Oryzias latipes: one gene and its partner. The protein of the gene in region 2 interacts with the protein of the main gene of each other region in a biochemical or structural test. Links are inferred from orthologs where the notes say so. Each region holds a gene or a part of one and is shown on either strand. Other genes may lie near its edges.

Evidence for each region.
Region 1: of the proteins of nedd4l (region 2) and ndfip2, one has a biochemical effect on the other in vitro, tested with the Homo sapiens proteins (2 studies listed by BioGRID, with this or other methods). The link is inferred for Oryzias latipes from reciprocal best matches to the Homo sapiens genes NEDD4L and NDFIP2.

The regions. Positions count from the first base shown.
Region 1 is NC_019860.2:18,747,460-18,751,930, reverse strand, and holds the start of ndfip2 (NEDD4 family-interacting protein 2), read right to left. Parts: upstream 3,051-4,471; 5' UTR 2,878-3,050; coding exon 2,851-2,877; intron 568-2,850; coding exon 348-567; intron 193-347; coding exon 62-192; intron 1-61. UniProt on the Homo sapiens protein: Activates HECT domain-containing E3 ubiquitin-protein ligases, including ITCH, NEDD4, NEDD4L, SMURF2, WWP1 and WWP2, and consequently modulates the stability of their targets. As a result, may control many cellular processes.
Region 2 is NC_019870.2:9,923,004-9,927,321, reverse strand, and holds the start of nedd4l (E3 ubiquitin-protein ligase NEDD4-like), read right to left. Parts: upstream 2,881-4,318; 5' UTR 2,763-2,880; coding exon 1,665-2,762; intron 1-1,664. UniProt on the Homo sapiens protein: E3 ubiquitin-protein ligase that mediates the polyubiquitination of lysine and cysteine residues on target proteins and is thereby implicated in the regulation of various signaling pathways including autophagy, innate immunity or DNA repair.

The DNA of each region.
Region 1 (4,471 bases), on a different chromosome or scaffold from region 2:
GTGTCAAGAAAACAACATGAAACAGATATGTGGATGTGAATTTACGCGAGTGTCTTCTCACCCTGGGCATCACTTCCACTGCAGAAGCAGCCATGGCTGCTGCTTTGGCCTTTTCTGCCTCATCATACGTGGGGAGGGAAGTAGCAACGCTGTAGGGTGGAGGCACCGGAAAGTCGCCTTGAAAACACGATTCTGTGAAAACAAGGAGAAGCAGGAGCTTTGAATTCACAGAGAAGACAGCGAGCAGAGTCAGCTGGTGACGAGTGCTGTTAGTCTTAGAGTGACTCATCGGTAAAAAATCGGTCGGGAAGCATTTAAAGAAACCAGGAGGGAGGAGGCAGCAGTACCAGGTGCTGCGGCAGCTGCTCCCAGGTCGATGGAGGCATAAGGCGGGGGTGGCATCTCTGCCTCCCCCACAGAACTGGCTGCTGCTGCTCCTGCTGCTAAAGCCGGGGACTGAGCCTGGTTCTGGTCCTGCACGGGTGTGCTGGAGGCCTGGGCGGCTGCGGATGTGGATGGCTGCTCCTCACTGGTGGAGGCCTCACACCCATCGTCCTCATTGTGCAACTAAGGAGACGAAACGACACTTGAGACCCCAAACATGACAGTCAGGATCCGCAAGTCCAACAAGATGTTTTTATGGCAAGGAAAGCAAAAGTTATCAGCCTCAAAGACAGTTTTTGAACTGAAGTTGTAGTTTTGCGCGACTCAAATTAGAATTGAGATAAAGCAAGAGGAAGTGAAGCTGACAGCAGATAAAAACTAAAAACCATTTTCTTTCTGTGCTTGTCTGTTTATTTCAGATTTTCTTTATAAAAAAATAGCCCAAGCTGCTGCAGGCGACCGCCCCCACCAACTCCTCCTAAAAAAGGTAAAACATTTATTATCAACATTGCAGCAGAAAGGTTAAGAATTTCAGCACAGGCTGCACTTGAGCGACCTTGCTGTGTTTATCGTTGTGACATTTGTGGTGTTTGTTTAAACCTGCAGCATATCAGTTAGTTGTCGTGTAGCAAACTGAGCCTTGCACAATCGGATTTTTATGGTTTGCAGAAAAGGGAATTTTCTCAAAAATCTGCTTTCAAGAACATTATTGGACTTCTGTTTAAATTCTTATTTAGTCTTTTTATCTAATTACAGTTTTTGACAGTCACAGCTGTATAAAAGCTTTACAGAACAGCTCTATTTGGAATAACTGCGGTCCCATTTGTCTTTGAAATGCCCAATAATCCAATTTAGGTCTAAATTCTACTTACAGACTTATTTATAAAGCCAAAAATAACAATATTTTTTGTTTTGATTTTAATATATTCATTTAATTTTTGGATAAATTAATGTCGGCCTTTCCATCTCTTACATCCAAAATCACTGTTTCAAAAAAAAACAAAAGTGGCTAAATGTTCTCTAAAGTTGAGAAATGACTTAAATAATAAAGGAAGGAAATGCTTGTTGTTCCCGTCCACACAGAGAAGAACAGGGCTGAAACGGCCTGCTGTGTTTATAAGCGGGCAGTGCCAATGACGCGTTTCTATAACCCGTATTAATACGTAACAGGAAGATGGATTTACCGTTATGAAATTACAGACCGAAATCTGAAATAAAGCCAAGAAGATGCTCTAAAAATATCCCCAATGATCCCACAAACTGTGTCTGCATTTTTTTAAAGGGAAAAACCTAGAATATTAGTGTTTTTATTAACTAGTTGTTAAAAATAGTATGGAAGCCACTCCCAGTTGAAAAATGGCATGCTTCCTATCTCTGACATTTTGTGATTTAAACATAAAAGCCATGTGGAGGTGGTTGAGCGGGTTGAGCTTGCAAGACAATGGCCGAGGGCTATTGGGTCGCAGAAAGTAAACAAATCTCAGAACTCTTTCTGTTTAGGCTTCCCAGTAAACACAAATCATTACTTTCCTTGTGGCAAAACTGAAACTCCAAAAAAAAAAGTGCAGTTTTCACACACCCCTCCCGCACAACTTTCGGGGGGGGGGGGGGGGGGGGGACCCGCAGAAGTTGGATCAAATGAGAATCCGCCAATCTTTTGGGAGCACGGGGCAAATGAGCGGCTGCTGCCTGGCTGGAAATCAAGGACAAAGCACAAGGCTCCCCCATGCACAGGGGGGGCTTACATAAGACATTCACAACACAGCCACAAGCCTATATCCCAGGCCCAGGGAGGGCTGCAGAACCCATGCCTTCAAAAACCGGCGCAGCCCCGGGGAGGAGAATAAAACAATGTTATTTCTGATATCCTGACAGTTGCTGCAACTTTTTTTCCCCCCTCCTTGCTTTTCTAGCCTTGAAACAGACACACACCCCCTTTTACGCTGAACTCTGCGTGAAGCAGGGAGTTGACTTTTTAGTTAGCAACACCACTGGTTTCACAATACCTCTGCTGATTATGACAAAGATTCAGATGACTGTTTTCCATAATGGCAAATTAAGTCTTAATGCTCACAAATGAGTAAAGAGTAGACTGGATTTTTATTTTATTTTTCCAGATAAACAAACTCGATGTATGTAGCATCATAATAGCGTTTATTTAGCTAGTAATTGAGACTAAACGTGTTATGACCTGATTATAAACAAGTGACAGAGACTGAACGCCGACATCTACCTAGCTAAGCTAGATGCTAGCCTAGCCGATGCGGAAGCCAGTTCTTATAGGGGAAAATACAATCAAGTTAACTTTTTATGATACTAATATGTATTTAAGTCATGTTTATTATTCTTTTTTATAGCTAAGATAAAATACAACGTTTGTTTAAAGACACCCCTTGCTGGGTTTTAATCGCGGGGCCTTGTTTCCTGTGGCTAGGCCGCGGTCCCAGCTCGGTTCTTTAAACTCACCACTTGGTACCGACTCGCAGGGTCCATTCCCGGCGAAGAAAAGCAGCTGAAATAATACGCAAGTTAACCCGTTAGACGCCTATGCGGTGACCGCCAGGCGACTCCTGTAATCACGACCGACGCTGGAGATAGTACGCCAAACCTACGAGACAAACAGCAGCGAGCTCGACGCACTGCCTCTGGAAAAAAAAAAAAAATCCGTGCCAGTTACGACCGTTTTAGAAAGCTCTTCCGCCTCTCCCTGTCAAAATAAAGTGCGCTTCCTGTTGTTTTTTGCCTTTTAGGCTCAGGCTACTGAATCATCTCTACTGTGATTGTTTGAAAAAGTCTTATTTTTCTAGACAGCGAGGAAGATAGATTTTTTTTTAAAGGTTAAATTGAAACAGAAATGATGCATTTGGTAAATTTACGAGAAAACTGAATTAAACAAAGAACCAAACAGAGAAGGTGCATTAAAAGGTTCAGATGGGGAAGGCCATTTCTCTCAATCAGCCCCGTTCACCATCTATCCCCATGTGGGCTTTGGATTTTCTCATCAGGGAAATGGAGACTTCAGTCACGGATTGACACGCGGTTGTTGAGACATCTTTGTCTGTTCAACTATTTTTCCATTCATAAAAATCATCATGTCAAAAACATGTTTTTGATTTTTGTTTTTACCTGACATACAAGCCTCATTGGGGCACTATTTCTGGTTTGACTGGTGGATAGCCCCATTTGTAGGCTCAAGAAGAAACAAAATTTTTGTCTGTAACAGTTACAAAAAAAAATACACATCAGTTTTCTTTTTAAATATGATAGAATATTACAGTTGTTAAAGATCCACTCCATTGAAAATCATGCTTTTGGGGGTTTGTAACATGTCCTTGTAGCCTTTTTCTCATGGAGGACATGTATAAAAGAATGTAAGATAAGAAGTGCATTTCTGAGAATTTCTTCTTCGAATTTGAATGAATGCAGATGCAAAAATGCTGTTTGAAAAAGCTTTTCTGTTTGAAAAAGCTTTTCTTTCATGACGCATGTGAAATGGATGGGCCAAAGTTTCACTGCTGTGTTCCATTCTGATGCATCCCCTCGCCTACAAATAGATTCATTAACGTCTTCATTGTCCTCATCTGAGCTAGCATCTGGCACAAAACTGTACTGCTGGAAGGCTCCAACATTGCTTGCCAATTTTGTTGACTGGTAATGTTAGCTTGGGGTTGTAAGGAGCTGTAAGCTAGTGGTAGAGAGTGTAAACAAAGGTATGATGGGATATCAGTGGAGGTGTACTTCCGCGCTAACAACGCATAGGATGAACTACTGCTGCTCCACAAAAACTATGTCCTAGAAAACGACCCAGGTTTTTGGATTTTGGCTAAAACTGCATATTCATGAAATTAACATGATCCCCAGGTAAAAAAATTAATTTCTAAGTACAGCCTTCTTATTTATCCTTGCTTTATTTATTTTACCACAACCAGCAGCTACGGAAACGGTAGTCTCATCAATGTTTTTGTTTGTCTTAAACATAATCCCAATAGATTTTTTATATTAGTTTATTTCTATGTTTATTATCTTGTTAACAAATAGAACTTTAATAGAACTCTAATATGTATACTATATAATAATAGGGAAATCT
Region 2 (4,318 bases):
GTTTTCCATTTGCGTAAGGAAGGGGATGTCTCGACTCCTAAAGGGATTTTTTTTTTCAATTTGTTAAAAGCTTAACATTTTTTAATAAAATTTTAAAATAACTACAAAAAGATGCAGAAACATGTCTGAATTACATCCAATTTTATAAATGATGTGGTCTAAACTTATAACCCATGACTCAGAATTGCACAGAAACGATGTTTGAAGTTAAATCTTAATCATAAAGATCCCCAATGGGAATTTTTATAAGCAGACTTGGAGTTTAATGATCCCCTTTTAATAAAACTGAGTCTGTGCACTAGTTCCCATAAGAGATATTATTTTTTATGTATATGGTTTGGCATTCATGTGCTGTGGGTTATACAGTATGGTATATCAAAAACATGGTTCAAATTCTGAGAGCTTGGCAAAAAGTATGGTATAAATAAAAATCTATAGATTACAAGTTACACTATGAGCGAATTTATCTCAAGTCCCTCTTATGGGAGATTAGGGGTGGAAAAGACAATATTAACATCAGCCTTTCTTTAAAAAAAACAGTATAGATTCCTAGCTATAGCCTAATAATTATATTTTAAACAATAAAATATGGTTCTTTAAACGTGTTTACCTTCTTTCTGTGTCACTACCTAATGGTACTCTTGGGGCATTAAACCAATGACTATGACTTAACACTAAAATGACTAAAACAGATGAAGCAGGTGGTTGTGTAATCTTTATTCTTTCTATTGGGAAAATGTTTAAGTGATTAAAGCTTTTGTTTTGACACTACAGTCGTGAAACTTTTGTCGACTGTTCGAAGGCTGGCAACAGGTTCTGTGGTCCAGAAGACACTGTTTTTTTTGTTTTGTTTTGTTTTTTGGTATTGGGAATGGTACGATGGGGAACAGCTCAAGTACAGTTTAAAATAAAGCTAAATAAAAGAGTTTAAAACAGTGATAGGGAAAGAGAGAGGGAGCTAAAAATACACCAACAAATATTTTTAGATCCTTTGGACTTTTAGCAAAATGAGGTATTGATGATTGCATTTCTTCATCCGTACTTGAAATGTAATGATATTTTAGATCTTAATCACTGGCAGTGCAGCTGCTGCTAGAATACAGATCCGTTCCAGTCTACAACCAGAGAAAAGACATTTCACTAAAATAAACACCCATGACTGAAATGATTTAAAGATGAAGGAATTAACTTGATAAAAAGCATTTCTTAAAATCACGATTATGATCAAAAATCTACATTTCAAATGTCTATAAAACAGAATGTAACAAATGAATTGTACATTTATCCAGATGCCTGTTACTCCTTTTCTTTCATAGCTGATTTGGCTCGTGTGCACAACTTCAAATGCCTGTGGTTGTGAAGAAAGAGCAAGTGTCTAATTCCGTTTAGAAACAACTCTGTGCTTTCTATACGGTTCCCAGCAAGTTACCACCCTCGTTCTGCATTGTAACAACATTTCCTGGTCTCTCACTAAGGTAAATAAACATCTTCAAACAGTGCTCACTGAAACACCAGATAAAAATCGTCCATTTTTCCACCATTAAAAAAAGGTCGGCATTTATTTATGCAAAAGTAAGGCTTTTTTATGTGAATTAAACAGCCTGTTGCAGTAAAAATACCAGAAACAAGCCATGGTCCAACTCAATAGCAAATTATTTCATTACCTTGGGATTATTTGTTGATTCTTTGCCAATATTAACTTCCTTATCTCCACCTCCACTCTGGGAAAAGTATATCTTGAAATGTGGTTGCCTTCTGGGGGCTTCCTCTTCAATTTTAAAAACACAACCATTCGACCCGTTTTTAGTTTCTGCCTCAACATAAGTTGGATTCTCCTCTATAGTCGGATATTCTGTTCCGCTTTCCAAGTGTTTATCCTCCAGCAAAAGACTTTGTTGGGATGAACTCCGGTGGAATCTAATTCTTGGATAACGCACTGTTTGTAATCCTCTAGTACTGCTTTGCCCAAAGTCTGAGCATTCTTCCTGATGGGAAGTTGACTCTTGTCGTCCCTGGTAGGTATTTTTCTGGTCTTGCTGGAGCTGAAATACTAGTCTTTGTGTTGTCCCATTAACATCAAAGCAGTGATCCAGGCTCTCCTGTTGGACAGACCAACCCGCACCACCGTTTGGAAGAATCCTAAAATGCTGGACATCAGAACCGTTAAGAGATTTTTTCTTAATACAAATAGTCCCAACACTATTACCAGGTTGGAATCTGTTGAAAGCAGCATGGCCCCTGGAACCAAGACAAAACACTCTGCGTTTGGGAAGGTTTGGCTCCATCAGACAAGACTGTATGTTTAAGGAATCTGGGCTGTAGTATGGAGGCGGTGGCTGTTGTGGAAGGTCAGCTCGAGTCCTTAGTTCAGTGTATGCAGGCGCAGGTCCTGGAGGAGTATAAGAGGGTGGTGGGACATCATCAACTCCGGTAGGCTCTCCGTTACTTGATTCACTTGAGCGATGAAGTGATATATGCATTGATGAGCTCTTAGTTGCACGTGGTTCGGCAAAAGCAGCAAGATGGGGTATGAACATCGAAGAGCTGCGTTTCAGCAAAGGCTCAGACTGTAAAGCAGAACTAGCTGAATGGACATTCTCCCCAGCTAACACTTGAGGTGGCCTTGACAGAAAAGGTGTGGGAGTGAAGACTACTGCAACCTCCTCACTGTCTTCCTGCTGTTCCTCCGAGTCTCCCTCCAGTATCTCTGGTGCTGTATTGCTGCGGCCAGATCCAAAGTACAAACGCAGACGTTGGGCCATTTTACTCTCCGTCCTCCAGCTCCAAAACCCCCACACTTTCTCCGACTGGTTTTAGGTTCTCCTCTCTCCTCGTGTCGCCCACTTCTTCTCTCACTGACTGGATAACTGATCCCCTTTTTCTTCCACCCACCTCGCCCTCCCCCTCCCAACTTCTCAGAGACTCTTCCACAACTTTCCCACTCAGTAAACTGTTCGCAGAAAACCAATTGCTCAACAGAAACATGGCAGTCACTCCAAAACAACTGACAGCATTTGAATAAAAGTAAAAAGAGGAGGAAGAGGAAAACCAGAAAGGAAGAGCAAGTAAAACTTTAAAAAAATTATATAGAAAGGGGATCCCTCTTTCCTTGGTAGCACTACCAAGCACTAGCGACAGACAGCAGAAATAGCCTTAGTCAAGTAACAGCCAGCATTCCTGACATGATTGGATAAGGGCCGCCTGGGCTCCTGGTTACTGAGGTGACAGTGGGGTGTCTGTGGGTCACGTGACTGTAACTGGCCCCCACCACCTCTTCTGGAAACCTCATATTGCCCTCAAGTGCCAAATACACCCCCCCTCAAGCTGCACCCAGCATACGCATGTGTGCGCTTCTCTGGTTTCATGATTAGTCATCACACAACTCTTTCCTTTCACAACAACTCCTAATAATGTTCTTTTTTAGGGTCGCATTAAACCTCTTCTTTAATACAACACTGCCACTAGAGCCAACTTTAAAAAAGTATTTTAGGCGGTGTAAATTACAGACACTGACCCAATTTATTTACAACAGACACTCGTATACCTTGATCTTTTAGTATATCACCTCAATGAGGGAAAGAATAGGAAAAAGAAAAGAAAAAATACAGCCACAAACAAACGATCCATATTTTACGTTTACTAGGATAACTTGTTATAAAAGAAGGTAAGCAGGTTCTTGCGAATACAATACAATTTAGAGATAACATTAAAGATGCAACTTTAAATTAGGACGGTAAAATGTTTCCTGTAATTAATTGCAGCTTGTACACACACAAAAAAAACAACCTGTGTAGACTGTTGCTAAAAATACATCACAGAAATGGCACAGAGAGGCCAAAATGGACTTTTCATGACAGCAGCTTTGATTCAACGAAAAGGATACTCCTTTGAGGAAAGATGGATCAGTTAGAAAAAGTCATTTCTTCCAACACACTTTCAACTACCTAAGTGGCTAATGGAATAATGGCCACATTGTTTTTCTCCCATAGCTGCCAGAGATTATTCGGCTCTAAACCTTGCCCTGAATTCCCATCCAGCGCCAAACCACAATGCAAATCACCAGTGTATTAGCATGCCATAGGTGTTTATTTTCCATCCAATTAAAAATAGTGTGAGAGGAATGCCCGCCGATCCACAGAGCAGACAAAACTCCAGTAATAACTTAGCATTCCCATTTCACAACAGAGTGGGTCTAAAAAGCTACACCTGGCTTGTTTTGTGTTCAACACAGATGTTACATCTAATTAATTAAAAAAAAAGGCAAGCTGCTACAAATCTCCTTTTCTGCGGAAAAAAAAAAGCATTAAAAAAAGGGAAA